Lepisosteus oculatus: one gene and its partner. The protein of the gene in region 2 interacts with the protein of the main gene of each other region in a pairwise test. Links are inferred from orthologs where the notes say so. Each region holds a gene or a part of one and is shown on either strand. Other genes may lie near its edges. The genes, in order: pre-mRNA splicing regulator USH1G and ush1c.

Region 1 (8,569 bases), on a different chromosome or scaffold from region 2:
AATGGATTTATTACTGATAATATATACAAGGACTACATTGTACCTTCACAGTAGTGTAATGAATTAATCTGATTTCCTGGTGATACAGTTCTGAACTGATGTACTTTTCTTATAACCAGTCAGTTGAGTCTTACGATTTTACCAACCGCCCTGAAGCAGAACTGAGCCTCGGAGAACAAACTGCACCCCAAAAGCGAAGAGAGGCTCACCTCTTAGCCAAATGGGTCCAGCGTGGCTGTCCTTGTAGAGTATGGCACTGTCCACCTGTGAGGTGTATGCCACATAGAAGATCATCCAGCTAGTGTTCAGGAGGAGGAGGAGTGTCAGGTAGATCTGGACATCGATCTGTGTGATGGCCACCTCGTTAAAGGCTCCCCCACTGACCAGCGCGCAGCCCAGGAACAAGATGTTGACTGTTATGAGGCACGAGATCAGCCTTCCGCGGTTCCGGCCTTTCTCTCTTGGGGGGCTACTGCTGGGGTTCTCTGGCAGGCTGGACGACCTCAGAGGATCCCCCACCACTGCCTGGTCCCTCATCACAGCCACCATAGTGTTAGGACACGGGCTGCCTTCATTCAATTCTCCCTCCATCTTCCGGCAGACGTCTGTGGGGAAGAAGAAATGGTGTCAGCATGCTGTCACAATCAGGCTGCCCACTACCTGAAGTGAGACAGCCAAATCCTTCACTTATTACCTTCTTCTGAGTTAACTTACTGTTTTTTTTCCAGAGCAGCTGGTAGCTGGCATTTTTCTGAAGATGGGGCATTGTAGCAAGTGAAGCTGGGGATGAGCTCACAAGCCTCATCTGCTGTGATGCATTTGCTTGATAACAGCTAAGGACTGCTAATGTCTCTTCCTCATTCCGAACATTTCCTATCTCGTGCTGGAATTTTAGTGTCCTGCTGATTCTAAATAAATTTACCATGAGCCCAAAGTGTTTCCATAATTCCATTTAAGAGTAATGCTCTGTGAAACATATGTTCAGTATATGATTTATAAATCATCTCTAATGCAATTTTTTTTCACAGAACTAACAACCAAAAAAAGGACTGCTTCTATTTTTTCTTTTTAGAAGCATAACTGCATATGAGTAGTTAACAGTCACATCTGCTTTTTATTAGATATCATGTCAGTGCATGAGAAAATATCGATAATTGTTTCTATTGACATTTTTATATTAAGAGATCCACAGAGCTTAGATAACGGTTCCTAGATAACCAAAGATTCAATAAATAATATTTTATTAAACATAAATCTGTAAATGTACTAGGTAAAAATTCTATGAATAATAACGGCGTATAGAGTGAGTCAAAATTCAAATATAATTTTATTTGATTCAAATATTTGCAAAGCAGCTTTAGCAAATTGAATGAGCAAGGAGTGAACACCCTTTAATTTATAGAACACTTTCAAAAGTCAATACAAAAGTCATGAACAAATTACAAATGGAAAAGAAAACACATAAATCACTGTTTGAAAAAAAAACATTTTAAAAGCAGGTGATGGTGGCGGCTCAAAGCCACAGAAGTACAGCAATCTACAGACCTGGGGCTGCAGGACGTCTTACTCACATTTGTAGGCAGACCTTAGATTCTAGAAGGAATCGCAATTTAAAATAGAATATGGCCAAGAGAAGGCGTCAGCAGCAAGTTAATTCAACATGAAGGGCCAGAGTCACTCATGTTGAAGTCAAATGAAAATATTAAAATGTCCTCTATGAGTACCCAACACAGAATCGCTGCAGGATAAGGAAGAAACACGCAACAGTCCTAAGCGAAGAAAGTTGTCAGTCTAAAAACGAATACTGCAGCATGTTCTCATTCAAGCAGATATGCTAAAGGTTCGGTAGATCTTGTTCTAGGTTTAGCAATATCAGCTGACACAGTGACTTCTACCTTAAAAGAAAGAAAATCTGCATTTTGTAATGCTTTACAAACCTCCATTAGCCAATTAGTCCTCGAGGAAAAGAAACACATAGCAGCTCTGTGAGTTGTCTCAGATGCGAGGTACCGTCATATTTGCGAACCATATGGCACTATTTACCTTTTCAGAACTTTTGGAGGAAGTAACGTTGACTGATATATACGTAGAAATGGGCAAATTAAAATATGAATGAAAGTGTTACACCCAAACAGCCCTTGCTTAATCTGGAGCCCTGCTATCTGACCTGCTTCCTTTAACAAGAGGTGATAACACAGTTCAAGGTAAATGCACTCTTTTTCGAGCTTTTATTTTTGCCAGCCGAGGTGAGAGAATAAAAAAGTGTATATATTTAAGATAAAGGCTGGGCTGCCAAACAAACGCCCAGCAAGGCTCACTCTGTTTTTCTTTGGTCTGCTGTAACTTTCTGTTTAACTATTAGAATTTGATCATTCTTTTCCATCTGGCTAGTATATACGAATACACTCACATTAGCAAATGAGTAGTTGCTCATGTGGCCAGTGTAGCAAGGAAAAAATATACACATGCTACCCAGCAGGATTCTCTAAATCTGGTTCCAGAGAACAATGAAGTCTTCTGCTTTTCAATCCAATTGTTTTGCTGAACAAAATAATGGCCTTAATCCGACAAGATAAACATGATCTTTCATCAGTCATTGAAGACCTCATTCAATGACCTCAGGAGCAGGGCTGAATATAGGCTGCAGATTTCTGGTCAATCCTTTTTCAACAGTATTTTGCATTTGCCAGTGTTTGTTTCCGACATCACAATCAGTGGAATATTAGCCCATAAAAGAAGAGAAAGCAAAATTCAGAAACAGAATTCACCAGTCAAGGAAGAGTGCGGCTGATCTTACCTGATGGGTTAGTGGAGTTCCTCTTAGGTTGAAACTCCAGAATCAGTCATCAGCTTTATACCCATCTCCTGTCCCAGTGATTTACTGTCATTTATTTTTCTGTCACTGATTTACCAAATAAAGACATTCAACAGAACATCGTAAATTTAGATTTCTGCAATTCAACAAGCAAAAAAATCAAATATCTCATCAATAACTTATTGCCATTTGAGCCTGTTCATTTATTTAGATTCTAAAGGATAAGGATAATGATATAATAATAAAAGCATGCAGTTAGGCAAAAACTACCCACTCTCTGTCACTGAAGAACTGAACATGAGATCCTCTATGAAGTTGTCCCCCCATAACTGATAATATGTTTCTGTTTTTCTCAACAGCTATATACTTCTGTCAGACCTCTGTGATGCCTTACAATGAACCTTGGCCTTTTCTATACTTTTGTTTGAGCAGGTCTTTCTTTCAAGAGAGGAACAGGACACTTTTTTAATGAAAAGCCAAGGAAAATACATCAGAACGTGTATTTGTACATGCTACAGTTGAAGTGCATTGATTGTGATCTTAACGGGCACAAGATTCCAAAGTTACATTATTACTCAATGTTTTGTCGGCATTGCGTCTGCTGTGATGACACCAAAAGTATAAGATGTTGTGCTCAGTCTTATAGCCATGCCACTTCTGGTTATTGTATGCTTGTTCACCTGATAGCAGTAATATAATTCCATGTATTTAGGTCTCTGTAAAGTCTTTGTTTTCCAGAAATTTACTGAATGATTCTCATTTAAGAGATAATGTTCATGTTTCTGAATTGTAAATCCTACATCAGATTTCTGCATGAGTCATTCTGAGCAGCTTGGACAAAAGTAAAAACATGTACTTTCAGAAATAAAGGAATATTAATATGGATTTTACGATATCAATGTTTTCACAGCCAAATGAACAGCAGCATAGTAATTGGATGCACTGAACTACACTGGAATTATTTAACTTCCCAGTAGCTCTCATAGGCATTCATAATCACCAGAGAAGACTTTGAAACTGTACTATAAATATTATTATAAAATATAAATCACACACAGTTTTTTTTTTCCACAGGGCTGGCGATAGCAAACTTAGTTATTTTTAACTGTGAGAAATGGTCTCAGTTGAAAGGAGAAACAGATAATAAATTATTTATGGAGTGCCATAAAGAAAACTTCTAAAACAAGAAGGATAAGTTGCTCAGAGCATAATATGTAGGGGCATATTAAAATGTCTCATTATTTATTTCATTTCGGTGAATGTGAATTGAAACAAACTAATAAAACTTTACAACATGACAGTTTAAATTTAGTATACAGTATCTATAAATACACTTAGTTGATGTGCCTGCGATGCAAAATTATCAGTGCTAAATGATTTTGTGCAAACATTATTTTGAAGTTATGTAAAATCAGTAAAAGAAGACATATACAAGACTGACATCTAGTAAAATGTAAAACTGGCCACCTGTTTATCTCAATTACATATTTCAGATTAGTGCTTAAATGTATTACTGTACCTTCCTACTTTAATTGCTAAATATGCATACATATTTAAAACCACTAACAGTTCTACGAACATTTTATATTTAAAATATTTTATTTTATACATTGGGTTTGAAACATAAGTTAATAAATATATAAATATGATCAAATTCAACTCCTTATACATTTGACATTCATGATACTTTGAGGCTGTCTCTATTGTTAGGACCCAGGGGACTCTGCAAGGGTAATGCTTTCCTTAAACCACTCCCCGCTCCGCAAACGGCTCAGGTGTCCGTAGCAACCGGACAGGCTTCGCTCTTTTAGCAGCTAGCCCGGGTAGAAAGAGACGGAGCCGCTGTCCCCACCCTCCTGCCGGATTGCCCCTTCCGCATGGAGGGCTAGCTGCCCCCGGCTCCTGCTACCCGATGCTTGGATGTAAAGGTGGAGACGACAGGTTGGCATCATGACTGACAGATACCACAGAGCTGCCCGGGACGGCTATTTGGACTTACTGAAAGAGGCCACCAGGAAGGATCTTAACGCTCCGGACGAAGATGGAATGACACCCACTCTCTGGGCCGCCTATCACGGCAACCTTGAGGCGCTGCGGCTCATAGTGGGAAGAGGGTGAGTTGGAGGCATAAAGTTTCAAAACGCGGTCCTTCTCCAGGGTTTCATATGTGGCAACTACTGCACGCAGGTATTTAATTGGATAATCAACAGAACCGTGCAAGGCAACCCGCTCGGTTTTTTAAAATGCAGGTCTCCATCTGGCAAGTTCTGGTTGCATTGTTCGTGGAGTGTTACATTGAAGAGCCATTTAATTTCAAACAAAATCGTTCCTGCAGGACGACACGCATTTAATGATGTGAAACTACTTTTGCCTAATAAAATAAGGTGAAGAGTGGCGGACTTTAAAATATAAGAGGCTAATATGGCTTTAGTTTTCAGATCTGTTGGACCCAGAAGCTTTCTTCTGTGTACGTATTGTTTTACTTGCACAAAATAGAATTTGCAAATATATGCATGATTTCATAAGTTACTTTTACATTAAAAGTATATTTAAAATAGTGTGAATTGGCTTCTCCCCAGGCGCAGGTGCATATGATCACCTCTGACCTGAAATGGGCTTATAATTGACTGATTGATTGTGGGAGTTACTGTGTGGTGCTGCAGCGTTTAGGTTTTAAGGGCTCAGGATAGCCGGGAGCCTTGGAATAAAGCTGACTTATGTGGCGTGCAAAAAAGTCGTGTAATGAATGATGCTGTTTACATAATTAGGTCAACTCGTTGTAACGCGCATAAAGGGTCCGGACACCGCAGTGTGCCAGTGAAACTGAAAATATGAAACAGGAGAATACAGCCGATCGCTATCTGAGGGGTGCCTGTTGTTAGTTGTTATTCACGGAGAATGGTTCTCTCTCCCATTGTGGGGGTGTCGCCACAGGGTTGCGACTTGAGATGAGGCAGAGTCTTGACTTCTGCTTTGCAGAATCAGTCAGTCCACACCTATCCCATTGTCTTATAAACAAGAACTGCAAACCGTGAGGTGAATATTATTATTATTATTATTATTATTATTATTATTATTATTATTAGTAGTAGTAGTAGTAGTAGTAACAATGATAAAAATGTTTCCTATTTTCTAAGTTGCTTGTCCAGAAAATTTGAAAAAAGGATAACAAAAATAAAGATTTTTTAAAAAACATCTCTATCCACAACTAAGATTACAGAGTCTAAATTATATTCTCTTAGATGGAAATCTTTTAACATGGTCTGACATGATACATAAAACATGTAACGGTGTCTTCTAACAACCCTCTGCCTTGTCTTATCTACACCTTGCAAATGCAATTGAGACATGTCTCGTCAGCTTAAACTGGGGGTTCACTCAAATGCTTTGTCCACACTTTACATCAGTCATTGTGATCACTTGTTACAGGGAGAACTGTATTTAGTCCTGAGGAGCCACAGTCAGTTTAAAGGTCAGTCATGATTCATCAGTTCTTAAAGATGAGGAACAGTTTCATCTTGAGCAGTGAAATACTTCATTTGTTCATATAAAATTTTTTAGATAATTATGTATGTAAGTCTTAGCTCTGTGCAGATTTGGAAAACAGAGTTGCCTACTACTGGCATAATATTTTTTAACCTTTGCTTAACTGATCAAAAAAAGTTTGTTTCCTGTTTTTAAAGTTACTTGTTGGCCTAAATTGTACATTTCCAACACATAAGAAAAAAAAAGCACCATTCTTTTTACCTGCTCATCATCTCAATCAGAGTATCCCCTCTGCCGTTTTTGATTACATTTGATAATTTTAAGATCTGAGCATATGAATGACGTCCAGCTTTCCATCTGCATCTTGTAGATTACTTGTGTGTCATTAAGTCATAATCCCCTGTTGATGACCTCAGAATGCACCTTGCCATAATTGATGACATCACTAGTTGACAAACCTACAAGTATGCAAACTGTGACTGATTGACCCTAGGCTTCGCTAAATGGCACATCAAAAACAATTACTATGTACTGAAATCATTGTGTTAAGCAGTGACTCATGTTGATATTTAAAGTTTTGGTCTTATAAAATAAAATGATCAAAAAGTCCACCCTCAGTATTGGGGCACAGTTCCCTTTGTGTAAGAAATCAGTAGAAAGCTAAAACAAAAAAGTTCTGAGTTTTATAACAAAACCTATACTGGCATCATCATGAAACAGGCTTTGAAACAACTGGCACGAGTGCCAGTGGTTTCTTGCACCATGACACTTTCCCCAGTGAACTGAGAACAGGTGTTGAGAAATGCTGATTGGAAAAGGTCATGCTTAGGTGATCACACACAGAAAGGACTAAGGCACTAAGACCAACCTTACACAAGCAACAAGCAACAGTGTTTTTTAATAAGAGGAAAAAAGGTAAAGTGTACAGTGATCTCAGACAGGGAATAACTAGGATATTTTTCATGTCCGTTTTTCCAAGAGGCCTACTTCTGATAATATGTAAGCAGTTCTTAAATAATAAGAATAATTTCATTTAAGTTTGTGGATCTGTGCTACAGTTTAACATGTGACCAGGTGTTTTCACCAATGGGTACATTCTTGTGAAGTACTGCATATCGTATGGCTTGTTTTCTTATTTTTTGTGTTGAAAATTGTTCAGCTCTTTAAGACACTTGTCAGGTTATGTAGGGCTCCCAGAAAATTAAATGTATTCACAGACTGAAGAGAAGTGAATCGTGTCATCCCTGAGCAAAAGGTGGTAATGGTGTTTTTATCTTTTCAACATCATTCTTCAGTGTAAGGGTTTTTGCTTAAAATTTAAAATTCATTTTTTAGTGTTTTAATCTGGACCTTAGCTTGAGTACATCTTACAATTTCACATTTTTGGCTTCCTGGTCTAAGTGATTTATGGATCACTTAAAGTCCAATATTGTTCCTCTTCAAAACAGAACAGTGTTGTACTGTTTTTGTAATTGTATTTCTATTTTGGGGTATCTTTAGGCATTAGTGATATATGGATATATGGAGGCTTTTGTAGATTTTTTTTATAGATACAGAAACAGTACCCGTGAGACAGACAGAGAGAGGGGTGATGATTTAATCGCTGGGTTGGCAGTTTTATAGCAGGTAGTATATAGTGTTGTCCAATTAAGTTGTAGACAGGAGGGAAGGCTGAATACATTTTCTCAGAAGGAAGTTAAAGGTCAGGATGACAGATTGATGAGCTTTGCCTATATGAGCCTGCTTCTCTTTTAAATCTGCCATGTCCTTGTTGCAGATTGGGAGTTGATCCATCCAGGCATTTTCTACCCTCTTGGCTTGGTATTTCTTAAAAATGCTTTTGATATAAACAGCTATTAAGAAATCAGTTCTTAAGAAACATAAAGCATTAAGTGCCTGTGTGAAGGGTGGAAAGCAGAAATCATGGCTTTTGATGTTTGATGCATATTTTAATAATTTTGAAAGAAAATTAACATGTACTGTAGATTGAGCTTTTTATTTACTGTAGATAGTTTTCTGAATATGACTGATGGGGTTGGAAGTGTGAGATTACCCTGGGGAAAACTGTCCTTCTATGACACACAAAGAGGTTTTGCGATCTTAGATTCTGGTCTGTCCACCTTAACAGATGGGAAACCCAAATCAGTCCAGGGGCAGGAGGGTGCAATCAGGGAGGTGTTAGTCCTGGGTCTGGTGTCAGCATTAACAACACCGTGCCTCTCTGCTCCCTGTTAAAACTGTCAACTTGTGCCATCAATGATTCATTTC
Region 2 (8,525 bases):
TGATAATGTAGAAGTTTGTTTTTCAGGTGGACTTTCTCTTCTGTTTCAGATCTGAGAGCATCCCTACTCCTGCTTAAAGAATGACGACAGGCACTAATTAACATAATTTATTCAGGCAGGTATCAGAGGCCATGCAAATGAGCAAACTACCGTAATGTTAACCTATGTCAGAAGTCTGTCTTAAAATGTATAAAATGCGTATGTCCGTCTTTAGTCATTAAGTTCTGCTTGAAACAGCTTATTAAAAACGCATTTCGGAGGAAATAGAATATTACTTGCTGTTCAGACTCCTTGCCCAGAGAACGGTCTGATTTAAGCCTCTCCTGTTTTGACTTAAATTATCCGTTATACCAGAGTTGACTTTTATTCTCCTTTTCATTTGAAGGTTTTGTGCCTCGATTGTTTTAAGACTGAGAAGTGTAAACGTAAACTACAAAATAATTAAAATGCATTTGAAAAATTATTATAGACCAAGCTTGTGGTCTACTTTCACAGTTTAAATCCGAATCCGTTAAAAAACAAAAGGAGATTTTTCTGTTCATTGTACTTTACAAAAACAAAACTGAATCAAAAAGGTGAGATGTTAAATTTTTAAGATACCTTCACAATTCCACACAAACCTGTTTGGGAATAGGGGATTGAATAAGTAAGTAGGTCGCCACCTAGCGGAGATCTGAGTTAACACTCACCTGTTTCCCTTCACATTGAAAAAATGTTTATTTGTTAAAGCTATATATACTATATATAGGGCACTTATTTCCAGAAGGGATACATGTTTAAAAGTAAAAGACTTCATTTCAGAGATTAATGTATGCTTATAAAATAGATAACTATCATCATCGTAGTTAACCCCTTATTCTTGTTACGTTAACATTAATACCGTAAGCCATGTTAAATATTTTTTCACCGTTTATTTGTAATTCTTATTCACAAATTAATTATGTTTCAGAAATATTGTCGACCAGAGGTATCTTAATAGGGCGTAGTAAGAACTCGGGTACATTATATTGTACCAGTTCGGAAAGAGATGTCAATCCAGTGGAGAGCGCATTCGTGAAACAGTATTCATTCTTCCCCGAAAGTATTTATTCCTAAAATATAGTGATTTTTAAAAACAAATGCTGGATACAGTATACACAAACTACAAAACGGAAGGAAGCGGTTTGTTGAGAGTATTTGTACGAGGAGACCGGCCGGTATTCACACCGGAGCGGTCTATGCGCAGCAGGTAGCTGTACCTGCGTCTTTCCAGCCTTGTATTGAAAGGAACAGGGAAGCGCCTTGAGCGCTCCGCTCCTCCCAGCGCCGGACAGACAGCCGCAGAGGAGCAGCACTAACGAGCTCGGCAGAGCCGGCAGCGCGGACAGGAGCCCGGTGTTGCGCACAACCATGGAGCGAAAAGTTGCTCGCGAATTCAGGCATAAGGTAGGAAACGCGGGGGCTTGGGATGAGACGTGTGTATCAAGACATGTACAGTACATGTAAAACAGTCTTTTAAAAAAAAAACGCCAAGATGACAAAAGACATGTACTATATGTACTCTGACCCCTATCAATTAACCATGTACATGGGGGAAGGGCGTTGTACGTGGCAGTTATGTACGTTTACTAACTTATTTACTTACTTAATTTATTTTATTTCTTGAATGTTTTTATTATTATGAATTCTAACAGTTGCGGTAATTGTTACTCTTAGCTGAGAAAATGTGTAGCGCAGCTAATGGAGTGTAGTGGAGTGTATCGAAATAACTTGTATTTACTATTTTTAATTTGCTTTTTGTTGGACGGAATTTATAAATTATAGTTCATTTGATACAGTATTGTGTTTCAAAACAGGAGCAAGAATGGGATTACTATGCAAATACTAATCAATACAGTAGGCTGCACTTCAGAAAACGTGATAAACTCTCGCAGTTTCTAGGCCTACATCTGTGATTGATTGGGTTTAGGAACGATGCTACAATGTGAATTTCTAAAAGTTATTGTCAAAAACACTAAATAATACACAAGTCCAGATGCTCAGATGTGGAAAACAGTTAACTGGTAGCATCTGTACACATACAGTACAACACATGGTCTATAAAACATCATGTTGCTAAGGATCATAATTTATAACGTTAAAAACGAACAAAAAAACATCAAATATCTGACACGCCACATGATATGAAAGTTGCACCATGGGTAGGGGTAGGTTCTTCCATATAAAAAAGACTCACTGTGCCTTAGTCGCTAAATTGCGACCCCATAAAGCTGTGCTCTTCAGCACATAATTTATAGATGCTACCAAATATGTTCAGTGAGGCAGAAACATTCTTTGCTGATTTACTGTTGATTAAATTAGAATGACATCAAAGGGGGAGAACGCTGCATAATAAAGGACACTTGGCTTTGAATCAACAGAGCTCGGTTGACCTTTTATCTAATTTGTCACTCCTGATTGTGCTTGAAATGCCGTTTCTGGTTTTTCTGAAGGCTGTACTTTCTGAAAAATGGCACTCAAGAGGAAATATTCCCAAACTGTTTTGTTTTGTGCTACGCATTATGCTCATTTGCAAAAAAGGGGAAATAATCCTTCTTGAAGGAGAGGATTACAAAGATGTTTAAACTCGCTCTTCTTCTGTCATCTCACCTGAGAAGATTACAAACCAGAGGAGGCCATTTGATCCATCTCACGTGTTTGCTGCTACTACTGTGGCTAAACTCTTTCAACCGTGTTCCCATATAGTGAGGATGAACTAACATGAAAATGTAAATTGTTTTCACATGTTGTGCCATTATGTTCAATATCACTCATTTAACAGTGTTTACAGACTTTAAATATATACAGAAAATGTCACTTTTAGATATGCCGTTTTAAATCTTCTCTGGTGCTCTTATTTAACACAAATTGGAATATGTACTTAAGTGCTATTTTCAATTTTTATTTTTAGCTTCTGTTTATTTAATGTCCATTTTTTACGTCATAGTTTGCTGGTATTTCACTATCAGTATGGCAAGTTTTATGGCTTTCAAGTATCAAAGTCTTTGGGGTGGTATGAATTGTGCAATAATGAGTTACGAGACGTATGAATGTTTCTACCTACTCAGCGGTATAGCTGCCATTTTGCACACATCATCTTTAATTACATAGTAAAGGCTCCATTTTAATACAACTCAGGTTGAAATCTAAATTTAGACACAGTGCATTGTGTGCTGCAGATGATTCAGTTAGGAATATTTGCAATCCACTTTTGTACTTTGCAATGCTGCAAGACTGTATTCTCAGAAAGGAAGGGGCTCTAACACTGACTGAACATGCACCTTGAAAATGTGTTGAAAAGGTTTTTAAATATCATGGGAGGAATATTATTTATGCTTGCATGAGGAAGCTTAAAGAAAGGCAGGTAGGGCAGTAGCTGTTGTTGACAATAGGGTCTATTAGTGTTACTTCTTGATGAGCTGTCCCAAAGCGGACAAAGTTGCATCTGTCTGTAATTTGTAAAGTTACAAAGAGAAAGGGGTAGTTGTCAGGACACCACCATCACAGATACCAGAGTACCAACTCCAGTCACAGTGCTGTCAGTCTGTGCTGGTGTAACAGGGCTCATGCACTGAGTCAGTGACAGAAGTGACATCACCCCCTTCTGAAAGCTAGACAGGGTAAGACTCTGTGACAGAAGAGGACCTGGTGTTGAAGTCCACTGCATTCTACAGCTCCACAGGAGCAGAAGTCTCCTCTGGCTGTGTGGTTCTGGGTCACTAGCAGTTGTGATCAGATCCCGGCAGGAGCAGAGTGGAGTCACGCTGATCACTGATGGCATGGAGAACTCTCCCGTTAGAGACCCGGGTGTTTTGGAGTGGCAGGGTTGTCCACAGTCTAGAGCCTGTGATTGGCCTAAACCAGTGCCTCATGACCTGGGATAATGTTGGAGGTGGTTTCATCTTTTAGACGAGACGTTAAACCAAGGCCCTGCTTACTTGGTCAGATTGCATGATAGTGTTTATATGAGTGAGCTTTTTAATTAACCCCAGTGTCCTGACTACTCTGGACTTTCACAATCTGGCCTTCTTAAAGTTTAGCCCTTTGGTGACAACATTTTTCTTTCCTTGTCTGGATCTGCTGTCCCAGGCAGAAGCTTCTTTTCAGCGGTGCATGAATTGCATCACCTACAAAGCGCCTAATAATTTTAATGAATAATATTAGATATTCTTAAAATTCATATTAAAGCAGTTTCTTTGATCAAAACAAACTTAATCTGAAGGAAAGTTTATTTCCAAATGCGACAGAAATCAGACCTTTTTGGGTTACTAATAGAGTCGGGAGAAAAGGCCTCTTTATATACTGTACTGCAGGGCCTGTGGAAAGGAGGCTGTAGTTGAATGTGTTGTAAAGTGACACTGCTCCAGCTGAACCTCCCATTACCACGCATAGAAGTGGCTACTAGTACTGAGCCAGATGAAGGCTGCAGGCTGAGCAGAGAAAGCGATCTGCCCCGGGAACTTATTGTAGACAACAATACCCTCTGGATAACTGTAGCACTGCTCTTGAGCCAGTGATCACTTTACACAAGCAGCTACACTGATTCTGGATGGGAGGAATGTGCTACATTAATGAATGGCCGAAAAGGTTTTTGAAAATATTTGTCCAGCAGTTCAGCCGTTACCAGGTAAGGGACTATATAAACGCATGACTTTCTGCAATGCCGTATGTGGGATCCGTTTTTCATTTTTGTTGAAATCCTTTTGTATGCTCTCTAAAGACGTTCATCAAGTCAGTTCTGAATATGTATATTATCAGCATGTTAAAACAATGTTATCATTGTGTGGTTGCTTTACTTTGTAGGTGGAATTGCTTATTGACAATGAAGCTGAAAAGGATTACCTTTACGATGTGCTGCGGATGTACCACCAGTGAGTCCTGTTTTTTCTTGGCTATTTTCTTCTGATATTGTCCATTTTACCCACTACTATTTATACAATATTTTTAAGATATTTTGTTAATATTCTCAATGTAGACTTATAGTACTGTATCACACTATTAATATTTTACCCATGAATAATAAGTTTTCTTTCCATTTGTGCTGGAAACAGGAAAGTTATTTAAATGTGATGCATGAAATGCAGGTCTCTTAAAATCCCAGCATGTTATGAAATGCAGAACATTTCTCACATCAAGTAAAATGTTTATTTTATGTATAAATGATTGTACTTTTATCATTACTGCATAGCTTAGTAATGTTAGTTCATCTTTTGATTTCAGTGAGACACTCTGCTTATCCACACTGCACATTTTGCATTTAAAAAGACTGAATCGATTTCATACACTTTAATAACTAAACTTCAGCAGATGTGCTTATACGGTATATTCTGTCAAGATTTGTCTGAGGAATACTGACAAAAGAATTCCGCAGTGGGAGGTATTGTTTCCACTGAGTTGTGTAATAATAGCAGCTGAATGGAGTGAAATGTAGATGTTGCAGAAGTTTCCATGTGATCTTTGTAAGGAGGAACAGTTTTGTTTCTCACTGGATATGTATCCAGTTCTCTTTCACTCCCTGTCCAATTGAACCTCTATTCATATTCGCTTTTGCTTGTGCGTCAGAAATGAAATAGCTATGGTTAATAATTTAAAGACTCCACCAGGTTGCTAAATTCATAAACAGCTGTCATACAATGCCAGAGCAGTTTTTATGAGGTATAGTTTACTACAGTGCTTCAGGAACTTGCTGGTACCTTTATGCTCAGCAGCTGTGGAGAACTTTTAAGTGAACCATAACATGATTTATAGAGATCTGCAAAGTACCTCCTATCCAGTGGTTGTCATCGTGTACAGTATACAGTATTACAGAAAATAAGGCACTAATTTAAGCATGAGCTAATGTATTCAGGCAATTTTAAGTTCACTGAGATTTTTTATTATCCAAAAGTATTCTTCACTTTTAGAACTGTTGTCATTGTTTTAATAAGCTAATTTTCCACATTTAATATCTTTGCTTAACTGGATTTGATATACTGTAGATGTCGGTATGGTGCAGTCATTTTCCTTTGACCTATTTTAATTTTTAGGACCTGTTTAGTAATGGAGAATTAATACTTAATTGTGTCAGAAGGCATTATTTTGTTACAGTGCCTCTTAGTTATAAGAAAGTGCATAATATACATTTTTTTTAAAATGACAACCTCACGGAGATGTCCCAAAATATATTATGAAACTACCACAGAGCAAAACAGCTTTTTACATTTACATTTATTTGTGTTAATTGCAACAAGTTTTTTAAGTAGATTTGGTTATCCATTGTATAAACATTTCCAAGAGGTTTTCAGATAATTTTCATTATCTCGTTGCTTGAAAGTCGGGGTGGCAGATATATTTTTAATTGTACAGTACATGATGTTTCAATGTTAAAGTCAATATACATTACACATCACATGTCACAGTATTGTACCGTTTGATAGGAGCAGGAGTCATTAAGGCTATTGACTGAAATGGGTAGGTGTGTCAGGGGGTTACTGCGATGGTATCCTTGAACTAGTGCTTGACTCAGATTGCTCCAGTAAAAAAGCTGCTGTATAAATGCATGCTCTCAAGGTTGCTGTGGTAAATGAGAATTTGTTCTCAGCTGGCTTGTCTGATTGAATAAATCAACCACGTTTAGTCATTCGGATGGTTCCAGGGAGTATTTTAATTCATAATTTCTCACATTTTCTAAATGTTCTATTTCATCAGTGTTCTCAGGCCTCGAGCCTTAAAGGCTGTTTGACACAGAGTAAGTTGTCAAAAGGAGACATTTATTGTTGAGCTCGAGATATACAGCTGTACCCCTGCCATTGCTGGGCTGATGTTAAAGCTCTTTGTTCTGGTAGCCCTTCATCTTTTCTTTCCCAGATCTATGGACCTCCCTGTCTTGGTTGGTGATCTAAAGCTGGTCATTAGTGAGCCAAGCCGCCTGCCTCTTTTTGACTCCATTCGACCTCTCATCCCCCTGAAGCACCAGGTGGAGTATGACCAGCTCACCCCTAAACGGTCAAGGTGAGCAGGCTTCTGCAGATGCCCATGTAACGATGCTGTAAAACAGATGGGCCAAGCTTGGAAGAAATGTAGAAAAGAAAAAAAAAGAGTTTGATATATAATCCCATTTTAACTGAATTGCTGGTTTTCAGATTCACTGATCCACATCTAAATGTAATGGAATGAGTTTAGCAGTGAGACAGAGTTTTTGTGATTGAGGTTGAAAAAGAAACTGGCCCATGAGATTCTATTTGTAAGCAAAAGAAACACAATTTAATGAACATATAAAAATAACATAAGCAACTGTATCTGTTTACTTTAACATTATACAGTGAAATGGATAGGATTACTCCTGAAAGAAGAAAGTATTTCTGTGTTAGCAAAAGAGAAAACAACTGACTAAGTTGAAAAGTTGAAAGGCAGCTATATTTTGAATGTACTGTATAGTACATTATTAGGTTTAAAATGCAAACAATGCAAGCTTGTAAATCACAGCTGATAAGAAAGAATTAAAACAGGTACACATGTTCTATATGGCCTTTCCAGTGTAAGTGTTTGTTTTAATAGTATTACCTTATTGTGATTGGAAAAGGAAACCCAGTGTTTCTGTTTGTCACTTGAATGCGCCACTTTTTCACACTGGAAATGTAGGAAGCTGAAAGAAGTCCGCTTGGACAGAACCCATCCTGAGGGACTGGGACTGAGTGTCCGTGGAGGATTGGAGTTTAACTGTGGGCTTTTCATTTCACAAATAGTCAAGGATGGACAAGCTGACAACGTGGGCCTGCAGGTAAGGAATCTCACTTGCATGCGTGTGCTGGGAATAATGGCGGACACTACACATACAGTACATACAGTAAATATCCATCATATGACCTAAAGCTCTTAGGACATTTGAGGTACTGTATGCAGCAAACTCCTGTCTTGCACCCTGCCAGGATAGGTTCAGGCTGACCACAGCCTTCATCATCTTTCTGATAATGGATCCATGGTGAATCCAAAGAATGTTTGATTGGTTAAAAACAACCCTAAAATGTGACGTGTATTAATGAATTGTTACGGAGGTTCGGGAATGTGCACCAAGTTGATTATTTTCACGAATAATAAGGAAAAAAACATTTTCTTAAAGAAAAAACAAATTAAATGCTGAATGTAACTTTGGCCATTTAAAAACAGCAAACTTTTGAGCATTATACTGGAAAATTTCATACTTTTTATTCGTCTTTCAACAATATCATTATCCTTGCAGCAGTTCATTGGTTACATGTTTTGATGTTTAGAAATAAAATAAAAAATGTCTTTGAGAAGAATATATCTCAAAGTTATACTGCATAAAAATGAACATTACACTTATTTCTAAATATAGGACTCAGCTATTAGACATTTTTTTCTCTATTCTTGCCTGATGGAAACGTTCTAAGGTTTAATCTGATAGATTCCAAAGCCTTGAGGTAGTGTCCGAGTGTCTGTGTCCCGTTGTGTTTCTGGACTGCTCACTTGACATGCCATGCATTTCTTTTGTCCTCTGAACGGGTTCT

The links.
Region 1: the proteins of ush1c (region 2) and pre-mRNA splicing regulator USH1G interact in binary tests that used the Homo sapiens proteins (3 or more experiments, as listed by UniProt). The link is inferred for Lepisosteus oculatus from reciprocal best matches to the Homo sapiens genes USH1C and USH1G.

Annotation. Positions count from the first base shown.
Region 1 is NC_090704.1:43,172,306-43,180,874, forward strand, and holds the start of pre-mRNA splicing regulator USH1G, read left to right. Parts: upstream 1-4,461; 5' UTR 4,462-4,765; coding exon 4,766-4,929; intron 4,930-5,067; exon of another isoform or gene 5,068-5,851; intron 5,852-6,562; exon of another isoform or gene 6,563-6,651; intron 6,652-8,569. Other genes in the region: proton channel OTOP2, read right to left, coding at 210-605, 715-805. UniProt on the Homo sapiens protein: Plays a role in pre-mRNA splicing by regulating the release and transfer of U4/U6.U5 tri-small nuclear ribonucleoprotein (tri-snRNP) complexes from their assembly site in Cajal bodies to nuclear speckles, thereby contributing to the assembly of the pre-catalytic spliceosome on target pre-mRNAs.
Region 2 is NC_090716.1:12,309,581-12,318,105, forward strand, and holds the start of ush1c (harmonin), read left to right. Parts: upstream 1-4,456; 5' UTR 4,457-4,567; coding exon 4,568-4,645; intron 4,646-4,821; coding exon 4,822-4,889; intron 4,890-6,864; coding exon 6,865-7,008; intron 7,009-7,638; coding exon 7,639-7,777; intron 7,778-8,525. UniProt on the Homo sapiens protein: Anchoring/scaffolding protein that is a part of the functional network formed by USH1C, USH1G, CDH23 and MYO7A that mediates mechanotransduction in cochlear hair cells. Required for normal development and maintenance of cochlear hair cell bundles.